2 linked regions of the Drosophila melanogaster genome follow. The gene in region 2 interacts genetically with the main gene of each other region. Each region holds a gene or a part of one and is shown on either strand. Other genes may lie near its edges. The genes, in order: htt and Jarid2.

Region 1 (3,926 bases), on a different chromosome or scaffold from region 2:
AAATGTTAAAATAAAAACTGCCCGCTATCGTTGCCTAAAATCAAAACAAATCTGGAAAAAATATATGTGTGTATATTCGTACATTCGATGGCTCGTCCATCGATTGCGCATGGTAACCAACAGCACTGTAGAAATATAATTTATATCAACTGTCTAGTTACTTTTATTGTGCCACGCCCCCTTTAGCGCCCACAGGCCACAGACAAACAAACCCATGGCTGTGATTGCATTCACAATTCGAGTTTGAATAAAACCAAAAACCATCTATTCCCGCGCTCGCGTAGTTCGCAGTTCGATGGCTTTACATTTTGGTAAGGTATTTTTCATGGATTTGCGGCTTTTTAGAATATTAAAAATATTTTTTAGCTGCAGAGCCAGCACGAACCTAACAATATATGTATATATATGACGATCTATGCGAGGCTTAGTATTTGGCCGTTACACGCTTTTTAAACATCTCTTTCATTATTGATGTGAATATAAAGAGCGTCCTGTTGAACACAAAGTGTCGTAGCGAAAATGCGTTAAATAACTAACAGCGATAGCAGCGAATAGTGAATACGTTTATCCAAAAGTGTACAAACAATAGAGGCTGTTATTAAGGCTGCAATATTGTTAAATTTAATGGTGTTACTCTTTGCGAAATAACAATAACAGCTGACCCTAGAGTTTTGAAACAAGTGTATCATTCTGCTGAATTTAAATTCCTTTTCTAATAGTAAATAACAGCACTCACGAACTTCTCATTTGCTATAGTTGCTAGTAAGGATGCAGTGTTCATATGGATTTTTCGTATTTCTCTCAGAAATTCATTTCCTATTTAAGCTGTCTTACCCATCACTTTGTTGACCCCATGTCTGGCCATGAGGCTCCTATTGCGTGCATTCTCAATCAGACTCATGCAGTTTTGGGCAGAGCAACGACGCTTGACGGCACAATCGGAGCTAATTTGGTCCAGAAAAGTCTGCAAAAGTCAACAAACGCTTAAACATAAAAAGAAAAGACGTTTAGGGATATTATTCTACCTCGAACAGTTTGCAGGATTCGCTATCGCTGAGACCCTGTTGTATATGGCGGCTAAAGTGCTTGACGAAGTCGCAAAGAGTCTCCTGGAGCAACGTCTCCTTGCGCTGGGAAATGGTGGTCATACATTGGAGCAATCTCACGGCATACCACTTGATGTGTTTCTCCTTTATTTGTGGAGCATAGTAGGAGAAAAGGTTTAGGCAAATCCTCAGGGATCTGTGCAGAAAGTTTTTCTTTTTTAAGATTGTTATTTTAGCTTTAATATATTTGCCTCCTTACCTCTGGTTACCATTACGCTTAATTTCACCATACAGATCCATAAGAATGCGACTGACCCGGGTTTTCTCGAGTGACCTCAGTATTTTATTTAGGTTTTCCTCGGCGCTCATCCGAACCACGGAATCCACATCCTCGCAGAACAGCAGCAGAACATTCGTGGCCGTGCCGCAGTGGGCGGCATAGTTGATGTGGCCCGCCAGCGAGGGCGACATGATGCACTCGGCAATCTGCTGAAAGCAGGTGATCTTCTGCTTTTGGCTGTGGGGGGTTCGAAATAAATTAGTTTTATTACAGGTATGTGGCATGACGTCATAGCGGATGCACTTATTGCTCAATGTTGAATGAATGTTTTGGGTGGCCTAACAAGTTGGCAGGTTCATCTTAAGGGCAATAAAACCACCGGAAATCACCTGGGCTTCATAATTTAATCAATATTGTTCCGTAATGAGCAACAAACTGTTGCCGGTCCCCTCCCCAAAACATTCAATGCAACCGAAAACAATCAAATTTCCGTTCAGTCCCACCTGCATTCCGTATTTCGCAGTTGTTCCACGAAGCCAACGAACTTGTCGTACGCACTGGACCTGGATTTGTCCATTTTCGCGTCCTTAATAACGCCTAAAATCGCTTTTTAAGCATAAACAACACAGGAAAACATTGCTCTTTTGTTATGATTTCAATCAGCTGTAACGCCAGTGTTACCAGAGCGCACAACTGCTTTTAAGCGGAACACCAGCGACCAGCCCTGGTATTCAAGTTAGCTATCGTTAAATATTTAAATTTTGAACTAACCTGCTAAATTATCTTTTTAGTTTTGGAGAAAATTAGAAGTGATAACATATTTATTAAATTCCAGCCAGTTGGTCACAATGAGTTGTTATTTCCTGCATTTAAAAGACTGTTATGGACATGCTAGAAAACAGTAACAGTGCATTGGCGCCAATGTTAAAATGAGAACATCTTTTTCAAAATGTAAGTAAACCAACAATTAAATTTAACTTTATTTATTTATTCACGCTTTATTATTATTTATACATAACTGCGTTCACATTAATATTTACTTAAATAAGAACGTTTTTCACTTGTTCGTTGTTCATTGTCTTATGTTTGTTCGTTGTGAAATATTTATGCTCTGCGCAAAATATTTCCTGAAATATATTTTTACATACTCTTTAGGGTTGCGTACATTATTGTATTTAATTATGTTTTACCTTAAAAAACTTAAACCCATACAAAAATGCTTTAAGCTACTTAATGTTAATAACAAAACCCACCATTGTTTTTGTTCGTTTTCATTGTGTTTTCTTTTTGTTTAGGCTTGCCCTACGTGTATTCGCGTGAATTATGTAGAAAAAACAATCACAGTCCATTGAAAATATATAAAATTAGTTGCGTTTGTATGTGATAAACTGCCCGTGTCGGCGTCGAGAAAAGGTCTAGTACAGAGGGTTGCAAATAATGGACATCTAGAGCAACGGATTACTGAATTCGTGACACAAAATATTTACAACATTTCATTTAGGAGTACCTAAACCTTACGCTTTAAACTACGAAAGTGCGGAACTTAGTCTAAGGAAAAACGAGTGCCGAGTGGAAAGCTAAGGAAAGCTGCGAATGTGCTTAAATAATTTATGACATTTGGGCAGATACGAAGGGAAGTGAAACTCGAAAGTGGAATTAAGAAGAAGACCCGAAGTGGGTGTAAACTAATTAGGACGACTTATCGTGTTCTAAAGTTAGGCATCTAAAAGTAGCGTAATATCTGAAGATCCTAGCCGCGTTTGGCTCGCAGCACGAGAAGCGTCAGCACCAGGAAGCCCACAATCCAGGACAGCGTGCTCACATAGCCGATGTACACATCCGACTCCAGTATCGCCCAGCCACGTGTGAGGATGGAGCGCAGCGAAGAGGTGGCTAGCGTTAGTGGCAGGCACAGTGATATGTATCTGGGGGATAAGATTTTTTAAATTTCCATTCACAACAGAGTAATACCACAAGAACTCACCTCAGCACCACGGGCATGCCCTCAATCGGCCAGATCACTCCAGACAGCAGCAGGGTGGGATAGAAGGAGCCCAGCGCCAGCTGTATGGCATTCCTCTCCAGCTCGCACACCGAGGAGATGAGGAAGCCAAAGCACATTCCACACATGCCCTGCAACAGGGTCAGCACGATGACCCAGAATAGGTCGCCGTTGTTGGTAACCCCGAACACCACCAGCATGAAGATCAACACCAGAGTGGTCTGTCCGCACATCACCACGAACTGGGTGATCACGTGCGAGAATAGAATCTCGAAGGGCGAGACGCCAGCCACCCAGGAGCGATCCAACAAGCCCTGGAATGGAAGTAAGCAAATTTTATTATAATTATTCCCAAAAGAGGATAGATTTTCTCGACTTACCTCAGTGCGCTCAATGATCAGAGCCGATGACGTCAAAGCGACAGCCAAGAAGAATACAATGCTATAAAATATGTGAAAAAAGCATTAATGACTCTCCCATTAAATGTATATCTATGAAACCTACGTCAAGATCACGCCAGGTGCCACGAAATCGGTGAACGATGGATTCATGGTGCCGTAGATGGGGTCCCTGAACTGAATGGGCACGTCGCCCAATT
Region 2 (3,926 bases):
CCTGGCAGTACAGGAGTAGGATTTCGCGAGGGAATCTTAGGCGCTTCAGCTGCAATGAGATTGTTTTTATCACTAGCTGGTTTTTCAGCTGTTGAGGGTTTCTCAGTAGGATCGGGTATAGGGGCTACCACATCCACCTTCTTGGTCGCGCCTTTGGCCGGTCGTCCGCGCTTCTTTTTGTTGCCAGCCAAGCTCGCTCGACTGTTGTTGGGCTTTCTAGCATTGTTATTATTGTTGGCTCCCGTCGACGAGGCTTCCGAATCCTTGGACTTGCCCTGGTTAAGGAAATCCAAGTGGGCGGGCAACGCGCGAGTGCCACGAAAGCATAGAAAGGTAAGAAAGTCCTGTGGCTTTGGACACTTGTTGGGCAGGATCTCGATAGGCGGCTGATTGCTATCCGCTCCGGAGGTGCTGGGCCCCGATCCGGATCCAGCTGCCGCTGCTGCTGCGCTGTATGCGATGCTGGAGGAGCTGCTGGGCGCACTCTGTCCCTGGGCAAACTTGCGCTGTGCCTGCACCTTCGTTCTGCAAATGGAAGGAGCCAAAGAGCAGTGTGAGAGATATTTAATTGGTGGTAACAAGGCAATATGATATAAATTAGAAAATTCAATATTCATTTGGGATCATAATAAAGGCAACATCACAAACAGTGGACATTCGATAAAAAGTTTAATTCGGTTAATAAAACTAAATTTACCATCCAACTTTATTTTAGGATTTCTGTGTGTATTATTCTTTGGCTATCAATTTATTTTTAGCATATAAATAAATGAAAGAATATAGGAACAACAATGAGGTCATTACTTTGTATTTGTAAACAACATTGAAACTATGTATGGAATATAGAAAATAGATTGCATGTAAATCAATTGATTTAATTGACAATCTAAAATAACAATTGTAATGTTAAAAATTAGTAAAATAAATTTCACTTATCAATTATTAAAAATGTATGCAAGAAATCATTTTTATATTCATTTGCTATGTATTCGGTGAAGTACCCACGACGTAGTAAATCAATCTGAGTAGGTAAATATTGCCTAATTATCAAAGCCGAATATTCAGCTTAGTGACTAACCACTGTATATATATATATCCACCTGCTGGGAAGGAGCGCTCCCCCAGCAGACCCCCCCCCCGCGCACGACGGATGCGAAACACCCCTTCGTCGAGGAAAACAACAACGCCACGACACGCTGTTGACGCTGGCTTATACAACAAACCGAGAGCTGCCCTCCGTAGTTACTCCCCCTTGTGACCCCCCCCCCCTGCAGTGCCCCACTCCCAACCCCTATCCGTTTCCATTCCAATCAAGCAGCTAACAAACGCTGCGACGTCATCTCCATATAGTGCCACACACGTATGTAATAATGGATAAGCCCTCTAAACATTACCCATATCGTTGAGCATATGTGGACTGGCGGACTCACCTCTTGGGCATTTCGGGCGAGGACTCGATGGCCGCCACTGCCGACGGAGGTGCCAGCGAGGAGCCAGCGGGCGGTACGGGCGGAGGCGGTGGGGGCGTCTCTGTCTCCTTGCGGCGACGCTTGTTGTTGTCTTTGGAGACAACCATTTTGTTGCGAACTTTTCGCGCCTCTTTTTCTCTCGCCTCTTTTCTTTCGCTCGCGCGCCTTCGTCCGTTGAATTAATTATTATTATTCGTATTATTTATTATCGCACATACAATTCTCCGCCGGACACTTCTTTATTATGTATAGATTTGCATATATATATGTGCACATATGTACGTATATATAAATATATATATGTACGTATATATCTACAACGAATAGCGTTTTTGTTGCTGCCTCTGCTGCAGCACGCAATTTTCGTATTTTCGCTTCATCTTAACGGCGACTCAGCGGTGGTTTTATCCCTCGAAATAAACACTAAAATGCTGTTTATTGTCTTGTTATTGTTTAGTGCACTCTGTGTTCACATTTCACACACGACAAGTGCTGCAAATTTCATTTTCTTTCGCGAGATTTGCTTGCACATATTTTTTTCGTCTTCTGCTTCTTCTTACACCGCTTTTGCTTTGTGTCATGGCGGATGGTCGGGTTGCCATACTATTTTTCCAGGGCGGCACAAGCAGTAGGCCACTCATTTGATTTCCGTCACATCTGGCAAGGTTGGTTCACTCTGTGAGTTGACAGAAAATTTTGTGCAGTAAAAGCACCATTTTTGTAGCGAAATCTATAGTAGAAAGATATTCAAGTGACTACTATTAACATGGGCGACGGTGCTGGAAATTGGTGTCTCATTGAATCCGATCCCGGGGTATTCACAGAGCTTATTCGCGAATTCGGTAAGTTATTGGCGGGCTTTGCCAGCGACGCCGGCAATTGGGATAAGAAAAGTTAATAATACTGTGTACGTTCGACCAGGATGCGATGGGGCACAGGTGGAGGAGATCTGGAGTCTCGACAGCGAGTCCTTCAAGAACCTAGAGCCCATCCATGGTCTGATCTTCCTGTTCAAGTGGGTGCAGGAGGATGAACCCGCTGGAAAAGTGGTCCTGGATCGGGAGAACATCTTCTTTGCCAAGCAGGTGATCAACAACGCATGCGCCACCCAGGCGATCTTGAGCCTCCTGATGAACCTGGATCATGAGGACATCAAATTGGGCGAGACCCTCACCAATTTTAAGGAGTTCTGCCAGTGCTTCGATCCGTACAACAAGGGATTAACTTTGAGCAACGCTAGCCAGATTCGCACGGTGCACAACTCCTTTGCTCGCCCAACACTCTTCGAGCTGGACACTAAGAACCAGAAGAAGGACGATGACGTGTACCACTTTGTCGGCTATATGCCCATCGGAGGAAGACTGTACGAGCTGGACGGCCTGAGGGAGGGACCCATTGATCTTGGTGAGATCAAGTCGGAGCAGAACTGGATCGATGTGGTGCGTCCGATTATTGAGAAGCGCATGCAGCGCTACAGCGACGGCGAGATCCACTTCAATCTGATGGCTCTGATCTCGGACAGGCAGCGCATTTATGAACAGCAGATTGAGAAGCTGCTTAATCCGGCGCCCAATGCTATGGACACTGAGGAGGATCGACAGGCGGAGATCAGTAGCTTGCGCACGTACATAGAGTACGAGATTCAGAAAAAGAAGCGCTACAAAGTGGAGAATGTGCGGCGCAAGCACAACTATTTGCCCTTCATCGTGGAGCTCTTAAAAATTCTGGGCGAGAACGGACAACTAATGCCCATCTACGAGAAGGCCAAGCAGAGGGCGCTAGAACGCGAGCAGGCGCAGCGCAAAAAGGATACCGACTAAGCATTTACAGTATATATTTAAAATTTCCCGTTGGACAATTTAAAATTGCTGCGATATTTGAAATAAAAGAAAAAAGAATGGAAATTATCAGATATTGAAACGAGGAGAGCCAGTTTATATTGCTCTTTAGTAGTTAGATGAAACTGCCTTTGTACTGTACTTTAGTTTTTATATTAAACATCCTGCTCTCTGCCAGTTAATCGTACGCACATCTGCGTGTTAATCTAAATATACCTTATACATATAGTAAAAAATTTAAATAGAACGCAAAAATAAACAGTTTCGGTAACGTAAAGAAAACACGAGTGGAGTGGATTTGGTTTTGCCTTTGTTCGTATAGAATATATTTGGTATATATAATTTACAATTGCTATGTTTTGGTTGTATTCTTCTGCCTCTTTGCATTTGATTTTTGCGTATATTCACTTTGAATTTGATGCTGCGCTTGTTGTATATAATATGTATATTGTATATAGGAATATTTAGTTTGTTAATCGTCTGTGCCGCTCGCCAGTTCTATGCTAAAAATTTGTATCTCGTCTTAAAAACTAGGCTCTACATGTTACTTAGTATGCGTATTTCGGGAACTTTCATTGGGAGGTCTTTGATTTAGTATTCTCAATTTTGGTGTTTTCAC

The links.
Region 1: of Jarid2 (region 2) and htt, changing one enhances a phenotype caused by changing the other (phenotypic enhancement), as found in Drosophila melanogaster (one study listed by BioGRID).

Annotation. Positions count from the first base shown.
Region 1 is NT_033777.3:28,694,309-28,698,234, reverse strand, and holds the start of htt (huntingtin), read right to left. Parts: upstream 1,994-3,926; 5' UTR 1,904-1,993; coding exon 1,830-1,903; intron 1,564-1,829; coding exon 1,306-1,563; intron 1,243-1,305; coding exon 1,026-1,242; intron 965-1,025; coding exon 835-964; intron 1-834. Other genes in the region: snu (snustorr), read right to left, coding at 3,077-3,251, 3,311-3,642, 3,709-3,769, 3,833-3,926.
Region 2 is NT_037436.4:9,475,157-9,479,082, reverse strand, and holds the start of Jarid2 (Jumonji, AT rich interactive domain 2), read right to left. Parts: upstream 2,046-3,926; 5' UTR 1,577-2,045; coding exon 1,431-1,576; intron 526-1,430; coding exon 1-525. Other genes in the region: Uch-L5 (ubiquitin carboxy-terminal hydrolase L5), read left to right, coding at 2,236-2,311, 2,391-3,289.